Lonchura striata: one gene and its partner. Each later gene encodes a partner of the first gene's protein in a complex. Links are inferred from orthologs where the notes say so. Each region holds a gene or a part of one and is shown in the gene's direction. Other genes may lie near its edges. The genes, in order: CSK and PAG1.

Region 1 (3,898 bases):
ACTGAACCACTGTCCCTCTGTCCCCTTGTCCCACTGAACCACTGTCCCTCTGTCCCCTCTCTCTGTCCCTCTGTCCCCCTGTCCCTCTGACCCTCTGTCCCCCTGCCCCTCTATCCCTCTGTCCCTCTGTCCCCTCTCTCTGTCCCTCTGTCCCCCTGCCCCTCTATGCCTCTGTCCTCTCCCTCTGTCCCTCTGTCCCTCTGTCCCTCTGTCCCCCTGTCCCTCTGTCCCTCTGTCCCCCTGTCCACTCTCTCTGTCCCTCTGTCCCCCTGTCCCTCTGTCCCCCTGTCCCTGTCCCCCTGTCCCTCTGTCCCCTGTCCGCTCTCTCTGTCCCTCTGTCCCCTCTCTCTGTCCCCCTCTCCTCCTGTCCCTCTGTCCCCCTGTCCCTCTGTCCCTCTGTCCCCCTGTCCCTCTGTCCCCTTGTCCCCCTGTCCCTCTGTCCCCTCTCTCTGTCCCCCCGTCCTGTCCCCCTGTCCCTCTGTCCCTCTGTCCCCCTTTCCCCATGTCCCTCTGTCCCTCTGTCCCCTCTCTCTGTCCCCCTTTCCCCCTTTCCCTCTGTCCCCCTGTCCCTCTGTCCCCCTGTCCCTCTGTCCGTCTGTCCCTCTCTCCCCCGTCCCGCTGTCCCTCTATCCCCTCTCTCTGTCCCTCTCCCCCGTCCCGCTGTCCCTCTGTCCCCTCTCTCTGTCCCCCTGTCCCTCTGTCCCCCTTTCCCCCTTTCCCCCTTTCCCCCTTTCCCTCTGTCCCCCTTTCCCCCTGTCCCCCTGTCCCTCTGTCCGTCTGTCCCTCTCTCCCCCGTCCCGCTGTCCCTGTCCCCGCTCCGTGGCGCTGCCGGCGGTGGCCGCCAGGTGGCGCCGCGCCCCTCCCGGTGCCCCCGCCCCGCCGCCGGCGCGGTGCTGGCGGCGCATGCGCGCTGCGCTCGGGGCGCTCCGGTTCCGGGCGCCGCTCCCTCGGTGCCTCGGAGCCTCCGCGCCTCGCTCCGTCCCTCCGGCCCCTCCGGCCCCTCCGGCCCCTCCGGCCCCGGCCCCGCCGCGCCCCCCGCGCCCGCCCCGCGCCCCCCGCGCCGCGCTGGGCCCCGCCGCGCTCCGGCGGCGGCGGCGGCTCCGGCTTCCCCCGCCCCTTCCGCCCCCCCGCGCCCCCCCGCCGGCCCAGCCGAGCCCGGAGGCCCCGGCGGCGCCGCATGGAGCAGCGGCGGCGGCCGCGCCCCTGCCCCCGGCCAGGTGAGTGGCGCGGGCGCGGACAATGGGGCGGGGGGCGCGGTCCGGCCCCGCTGACCCCCGGTGACCCCGCGCGGCCGCTCCGCCCCGCCGCGGTCCCCGGGGACCCCCGAGCCCCGTCCCGTCCTGCCGGGAGGGCGGGGAGCGCCCCCCGCCGCAGCCCGGGGGATGCCGCGGCCGGCCCGAGCCCCGCCGGGGGTACCGGCTCCGCTGCCGCTGCATCCCCATCCCGTACAAAGGCCCGCGGGAGCATCCCGGGCGCCCGGCTGCTCGCAGGGCTTGGCGGCGCCTTGTTGCTTTGAGTGTTTGAAAATTTGGGGCTTTTGTTGTTGTTGTTGTTGTTTGTTGGGTTTTTGGGTTTTTTGGGGTTTTTTTGGGTTTTTTTTTTTCTGGGCACTAAGGCGTCGGCGGGTTATTTATAGCCGCGGCTGTTGCTCGTTGCTTTAGCGAGAGCGAAAGGGGTTGTGCCATCGGGCGGAAAAAAAAAAAAAAAAAGTCCCCCGAAAAATCGGAAAGTCGGGGAAAAAAAAAAAAAAAAGGCAAATCGGAGGTGCGAGGGCTGGGGAGCGGGAGGAGGAGGAGGAGGAGGATGGCAGCCTTCCTCCCGGGACAGGGGTTTGTTCCCACTGAGCCACGCAGGAGCAGGGCCCCATCCTGGCGAGGCAGGGAGTGTCCGGAGCGTCCCCGGAGGGATGCGGGAGGTTTTGGGAGCGTCCCCGGAGGGATGCGGGAGGTTTTGGGAGCGTCCCCGGAGGGATGCGGGAGGTTTTGGGAGCGTCCCCATCTTCCCTCGTGGAGCACCAGCGGCGTGGGAGCGATGGAGCCGTGGGGCAACCCCTGCAAAGCCAGGGACTTTTGGGGTGCTTCTTTGCCCTTTCACCACTGCCTGCCCCCAGCTTTTCGGTTTTGAGCGAGTATTTGCCAAAAAAACCTTCCTGTGCCCCACTCCGCGCCCTGTCCCCGTCCCCAGGTGGCAGCCCCTGGGAAGGGGACACTGGGGTGATTTTTGGTGGAAAGTCGCCCTGCTGAGGTTTTTGCAGGGTGAAGGAGAACCAGGAAATCCTCTTTGCAGCGTGGGGCTGGGAGCAGCTTCTCTCCAGGCCTCCACCTGTCCCCCGGGTGCCACCAGCAGCATCCTCTCTTTCCCTTCTGAAAGCATTTTAAAAACCCCTGAAAAAGAAGCTCCTTCCCCCCTTTTTTGCAGCAGGGCGCCCGGCAGGGGCTGGTTTGGGGGAGCAGTTCCGAAACGCTGCGTGCTGACGAGCGAGATGAAGGAGGAACATTTTTCTTTCGATTAGTGTAATCGTAGGTGTTCGTTGTAATAACAGCAGATAACATCTTTCAGAGGCAGGGAGGATGTTGTCTGCTTTGGGGTCGGTTTGGGATTTTTTTTTTTGGGTTGTTTTTTGAAGTTTAGAGGACTTCACCGGGAGGTGGGTGCACGGAAGGGGTGGGTGTGGGTGGTGCCCACACACCTGTTCCCATTGGGAATGAGCCTTTTGTGCCATCAACAGCCAAACTTCATTTCAACAGAGTCATCCTGGCGCTGGGCAGGTGCTGCCCCCTTCCCCTGCTTGGGTTTGAAACCCAGATGCAGCATCTGCCCACCCCGTGGTGATGGTGCTCCCGTGGAGGTCCCAAATTCCTCTCCCAGCCCGCCCGTGGCTCTGGCACGACTGGATTTTATTTTGATTCCTGAGAGGAACGCTGTGCCCAGCTCATTTCCTGGTGCCCTTTGGATTCTCAGAGGTGTTGGCCGTACCTGCCCACCTTGCCCAGCTCTTGGCTGCTGGGCCAGCCTTCCCACGGGAAATTTGGGAGCAGGGCCTTGGGGGAGGCATGGGATGGACCTGGGGGTGAGATCCCCGCTGGGGCTCCTGCACGGAGGATGCTCCGCTGGGCAAGCAGGGGAGCTGGGTTTTGGTTTTGAGCACATCCTGAGCCCCAGTTTGGGAGCGGGGAGCTTGCAGAAGGAGCAAACCCTGGCCTGGCAGGGCTGGGAGCAGCCAAACCCAGCACCCGGCTCTGCCCAATCCGCCCGGCTGCTCCCTGGCTAATTTTTAAAATTATTATTAATTTCTTTCACGTGCTGCCACACATCCTCCTGGAGGAGAGAAGGGGCGATGCCCGCGTTTTCCCAGCAGGCTCAGGATGCTGCTTTGAAGCCCTGGATCCACTCTGGCAGCATCTCCACGTCCTTCTCCCAGCCCAGCATCCCAGGGGATGCGCAGGGCTGGCCGGGTGGCGCGGGGCAGGAACTGCTGCCTGGCACACGAGGCCTTTGGGGGGCTGCTTGGCAGCTGCCCCGTGTGGTTTCCTCCTCCTCCTCCTCCTCCTCCTCCTCCTCCTCTTCCTCGGAAAGTCTCGGCTTTGAGGCAGAAATTAGGTAACGATTAAAAAGAAAACGAAGCTCGGAAGAGGAAGGCCTGTGTTGGGCTCTGGTGTTGGAACAACCTCCCTCTTTAAAGCTGAAAGGCAGATTTATTGTGTGTAATTATAACAATGCCACGGTCCTGTGCCATGAATACCCACGATCCGGGAAGATAAAAAAGCCTGGGCTGGCTGGAGCGTGTTCTTGGTGGGGTTTGCTCAGGAAGTTTCCTCTTTAGCAGGGAAAAGAAATTTTCTCTGTGAAGGCAGGCTATGAATTTTGTATCCTCGCTGCATTTATCAAATATAAACGC
Region 2 (3,898 bases), on another chromosome or scaffold:
GCACAGGCAAATCCTTGCTTGGAAAACATCAAGTGCAGACCCAGGCTCAAACCTTGAGCCAGCCATGCATCTGACAGCGCTGCTACTGCAGAATGGCATATGGGGTTTGAACTTATTATCAGGAAGAAAGAGCTCACTGGGTGTTAAGTCAGTCCTTACATATGGGTGGAAACTCGTAGTAATTGTGCAATTTCCCTAAAAAAATCCCCAGAGATCTCAGTTCGGTATTTTGCTTTTGCAGCCTTTCCTGCCTTTGCTGTTACAGTGCTTTTCACTTGCAGTCGTAGCGTTTCCCTACATCATGTAAAAATACGATTATTTCTTTTGCTTGAAGACCTTGGAACAACATTAAAAAGCCACCAGTAACTATGCAGAGGTTCCTTTTGTCAAAATACCTGTCTTCTTTAGTCACGTACACTTAACGAGGAGAAAAAAAAACCCAAGACCAGGATGCTTAAATTCGTCCCTTTTTCCTCCTTTTCAGGCCGGCCACCGGAGCATCCTCCAGCCGCGCAGTCCCCTGTGCAGCAACCGGGGCGGCGGCCCCAGCATCCGCCGCCGCAGCGCCGGCCCGGCGGCAGCTGCTCTCCGCTGCTCGGGGGCGGCCAAGCCCCCCAGGGGCCGCGGCAGTGCCGCAAGGCGGGCAGCGGAGCGAGGCGCTGCGGCGGAGCGAGGCGCTGCGGCGGCAGCCGTGCCCCGCAGCCTCCGCAGGGGCGCGCCGGGCCGCGCTGCGCCCGCGCCCGCGCTGCGCTCGCTGCCGGCCGCGCCGCCGCCGCATCCCGGCTCCGCTGGCGGCTGCCGGCGCGGGGACATGCGCAGTGCCCGCGCTGCGCTCCGCGGCCGCGCTCCGGCCCCTCCGCCGCCTCCCCCGACCCTCCCGCCGGGCGGAGGAGGGGGAGGGAGAGAGGGGGAGGAGGAGGAGGAGGAGGCGGGTAGGGAGAGAAAAGGAGAGAAGAGAGACGAGAGACGCGCCGCAAGTTGGCTCTCCTCCCTCGCTCCCTGGCCGCGCCGCTGCCCGGCCCCTGCGGGCTGCGCTCCGCGGGAGGCGGCATCCAGGGACGCACCGCTCCGCGGGGCCGGCGCCTCCCGGTGAGTTGGGGGCGGTGCGCGAAGTTGCCGTGTCTGTGTCCGGGGGTGCTGGTGCAGTCGCCGCGGGGGCCGGCGGCGGGGCCGCCGCAGGGCTGCCCCTGCCCGGCCGCGGTCCGCGCTGCGGGCGCTGCTGCGGGCGGCGGCAGCGGCAGGAGCGGGCACAGGTGCGGGCACGGCCCCGGCCGGGTCAGCCGTGCGCATCTCCGCGGCGCGGGGTTACCGCGCCTCCCCGCTGCCACGAGCCAGCCCCGTAACCCTATTTCCATTGCAATCCTATTACGCAGTGACAGGCTCCACTTTGTTTCGCTGTGGCATCTGCTCTTGGGCTTGGAAAGTCTTTAGGAGGACGGGGTCGCTGGGGCGAGCGGGGTCTGCTCCTCGAACAGAGCTGCCAGCGCAGATTGTCCCTAACGCGTCGTGTGCCCGGTGTGCTGCGCGCAGCTCTCGGCTCTCGGTGCTCCGGAGAGGGAAAGGAGAAACTGACCCACGGTCACGCCTGAAAGTTGTGCAGCTTGAGATGCGACGGCAGCTAATGGGCCAATTAGCTAAATAAACAAACATTGTGATTTATAGGTGTCTGAACTATAGCGCTTTGAACGATAGAGCTCTTTAACCTTTCTTTCTAGTCTATCCTTCAGAGATTTAGTTTTAAGGAGAGTAACATATCGTCTGTGGTGCTGAATACACGAATTTATTACATCTGTGAAAGGAACGGCCTTTGAAATAATACTAAGCCATTAAGCAATAAATGCAGAAAAAGAGTGAGACAGAGAAAGAGTGAAGGAAAAAATCTCGGTAGAAAATATTTCTCCCCTTCCTAGCAGCCTAGGAAGCCTAGCAGCTGTGCTTGATTAACTTTTATCCAGAGTTCTCATTTTATGAAATTCAACTTCAAAAACACAAGCGCGCTGTGTGAAACCAGAGGTAAATCCTCCTTAGTCCTCTCAAAGTCTGTCTGTGTTGCAAATAAATGATGATTGGAGCAGCATCTGTTAAGAGAATTTGTAGAAGCAAACACTGCTAAAGATACCCAGTAGGTAAATGGAAGTACATTGTTATTGCATTTGTTTCTCTTAGGCAATACAGAACAAGATATTTCAAATTCCAGGGGGTTTTATTTTACATCTTTAAAATTTTTTCAGCTGCACAGCTTCATTATTGCAAAAGTGCCTCCTCTAATTGGAAAAGTGATTAATTCAGTCCTTAGCTTTTTTATCAAAGGCCAGCTTCTGCAGTCTGTGGGGCATCTCCTGTAAGGGGTGAGTATCTTCTGCACTCATTGAAAAAGAAAATAGTACAGCATGTGTAACACCATGCAAACCTGAAATACCAGAGCAATTCTATATTTAACCAGTTTTTCAACACAGATTTTTATTAACATAAAATTAATATTCAGGTCAGCAAATGGGACCTGCAACTTCCAAGAGGCAACACATTGCTCATTTGAGTAAAGGTTGTGGGATATGACAGTCATCAAACTCACCCATCTTTTGTTTGGTTCCTTTTATGAGGTGTTATTTTATGAGGAAAAGAAACTGGTAATGCATTGTGTTTTAAGATACAGTGCTCCTCATAAGCCTCATTGCCAGGCATTTGAAAGTGGCTTTGGATCATGTATTGTGTACAAATTACTACTACTAGATAACTTAAGTTCTGAATTTATTCTACTATTAAAGTTATATTGATCAGAAAGTGACGACTGGATTCCAAGTCCTAAATAAGGATGATCTGAGAGGTAATTTATATTTTAGAGAGCACTGAGGAGTCCACAAGAAAAGCTATCAAGTTTTTCTTGCTGGACATGTAGTGGCATTTAGTTTAAGGAACCCTCTTTCCTGGTGCACTAGCAACTTAATTGACATATAAAGGAATTAAATGAGTTTATCAGCTCATTGATGCCCATGGTGAAGTGCTATAGAGTTCAATGGCTGGAACAGGACAGTTATTTTGCTTCCAGTAAGGATAGGGCTAGAGAATTGAGGGGCTTTTTCAAAGTAGTTCCAAACCCGTATAGTTTGTAACTCTAAAATATAATGCAAGAATAAAATCAATAGACCAAGAAGACTCAAAACCATGTGTCAATTAAAACAATAAATCATTCAAATAACATTACCCATGCCCCTACAGCAATGCCTCTGCTTCCGGGTCTCGAGAATGGGGCGGGTTTCAGGCAGAGGATGCGAGGGTAGCTCAGCCCTGGAGTGGCAGTGGGGAGGGGCAGGTGTCCTGTAGTGTGGTGGTTGTGCTGGGGCTGGGAGGGAGCCCAGGCAGGCTGAAGGGGTGCAGAGGGCTGCCACTCACCCTTATCCCCAGGCTGCTAAGCTGAGATGGGGACTGGCTCCCTCCCATATTCGAGGGTTTGCTGGATGTGTGGCAACTGCTGGCCCAGCCCTGCATGGAGCCAGCAGGGGAGAGGTGCTGAATGAGGCCCAGGTTGCACAGCTGTAGCTCACAGGCAGGCTGCCCTGGCTGCTTGCTGCCCATCCCAGCATTGCAGGGATGCCATCAGTGCTGCTACTGCCTTATACTGTGTATAATAATGCCAAAAGAATTCCAGTGAGGGAAGAAACTCAAGTTTCTTCCATGGGAAAATGGTCCATTTGTAAATTTTTATATGATTAGATACTGCTTTCATGGAGTGAAACATGGAAAGGTGAGCAGTGTATACTCATTTGTGCAATATTATGAGAAGTAAACTCTAAATTTTGAAATCACTATGCAGTCATATGAGCTCATGGAGGACCTGTGAGAGCTGCAACACAGATGAGAAAGCTGAATCCTGATTTGGCTGCCAATTTACTGCAGATAG

Evidence for each region.
Region 2: the proteins of CSK (region 1) and PAG1 are in contact, whole or in part, in an NMR structure (PDB 2RSY), measured with the Rattus norvegicus proteins. The link is inferred for Lonchura striata from reciprocal best matches to the Homo sapiens genes CSK and PAG1. Residues at the interface, in NP_001025210.1 of Rattus norvegicus: Thr88, Arg89, Glu93, Arg107, Ser109, Thr110, Asn111, Tyr112, Thr117, Cys122, Glu123, Lys125, Val126, Glu127, His128, Tyr129, Arg130, Ile140, Asp141, Tyr156, Asp161, Gly162; in NP_071589.1 of Rattus norvegicus: Phe291, Ser292, Leu294, Tyr296, Lys297, Ser298, Arg299, Glu300, Glu301, Leu305, Ile310, Met313, Tyr314, Ser315, Ser316, Val317, Asn318, Lys319.

The regions. Positions count from the first base shown.
Region 1 is NC_134613.1:5,943,160-5,947,057, reverse strand, and holds the start of CSK (tyrosine-protein kinase CSK), read left to right. Parts: upstream 1-1,138; 5' UTR 1,139-1,217; intron 1,218-3,898. UniProt on the Homo sapiens protein: Non-receptor tyrosine-protein kinase that plays an important role in the regulation of cell growth, differentiation, migration and immune response.
Region 2 is NC_134603.1:29,035,411-29,039,308, forward strand, and holds the start of PAG1 (phosphoprotein associated with glycosphingolipid-enriched microdomains 1), read left to right. Parts: upstream 1-910; 5' UTR 911-1,089; intron 1,090-3,898. UniProt on the Homo sapiens protein: Negatively regulates TCR (T-cell antigen receptor)-mediated signaling in T-cells and FCER1 (high affinity immunoglobulin epsilon receptor)-mediated signaling in mast cells.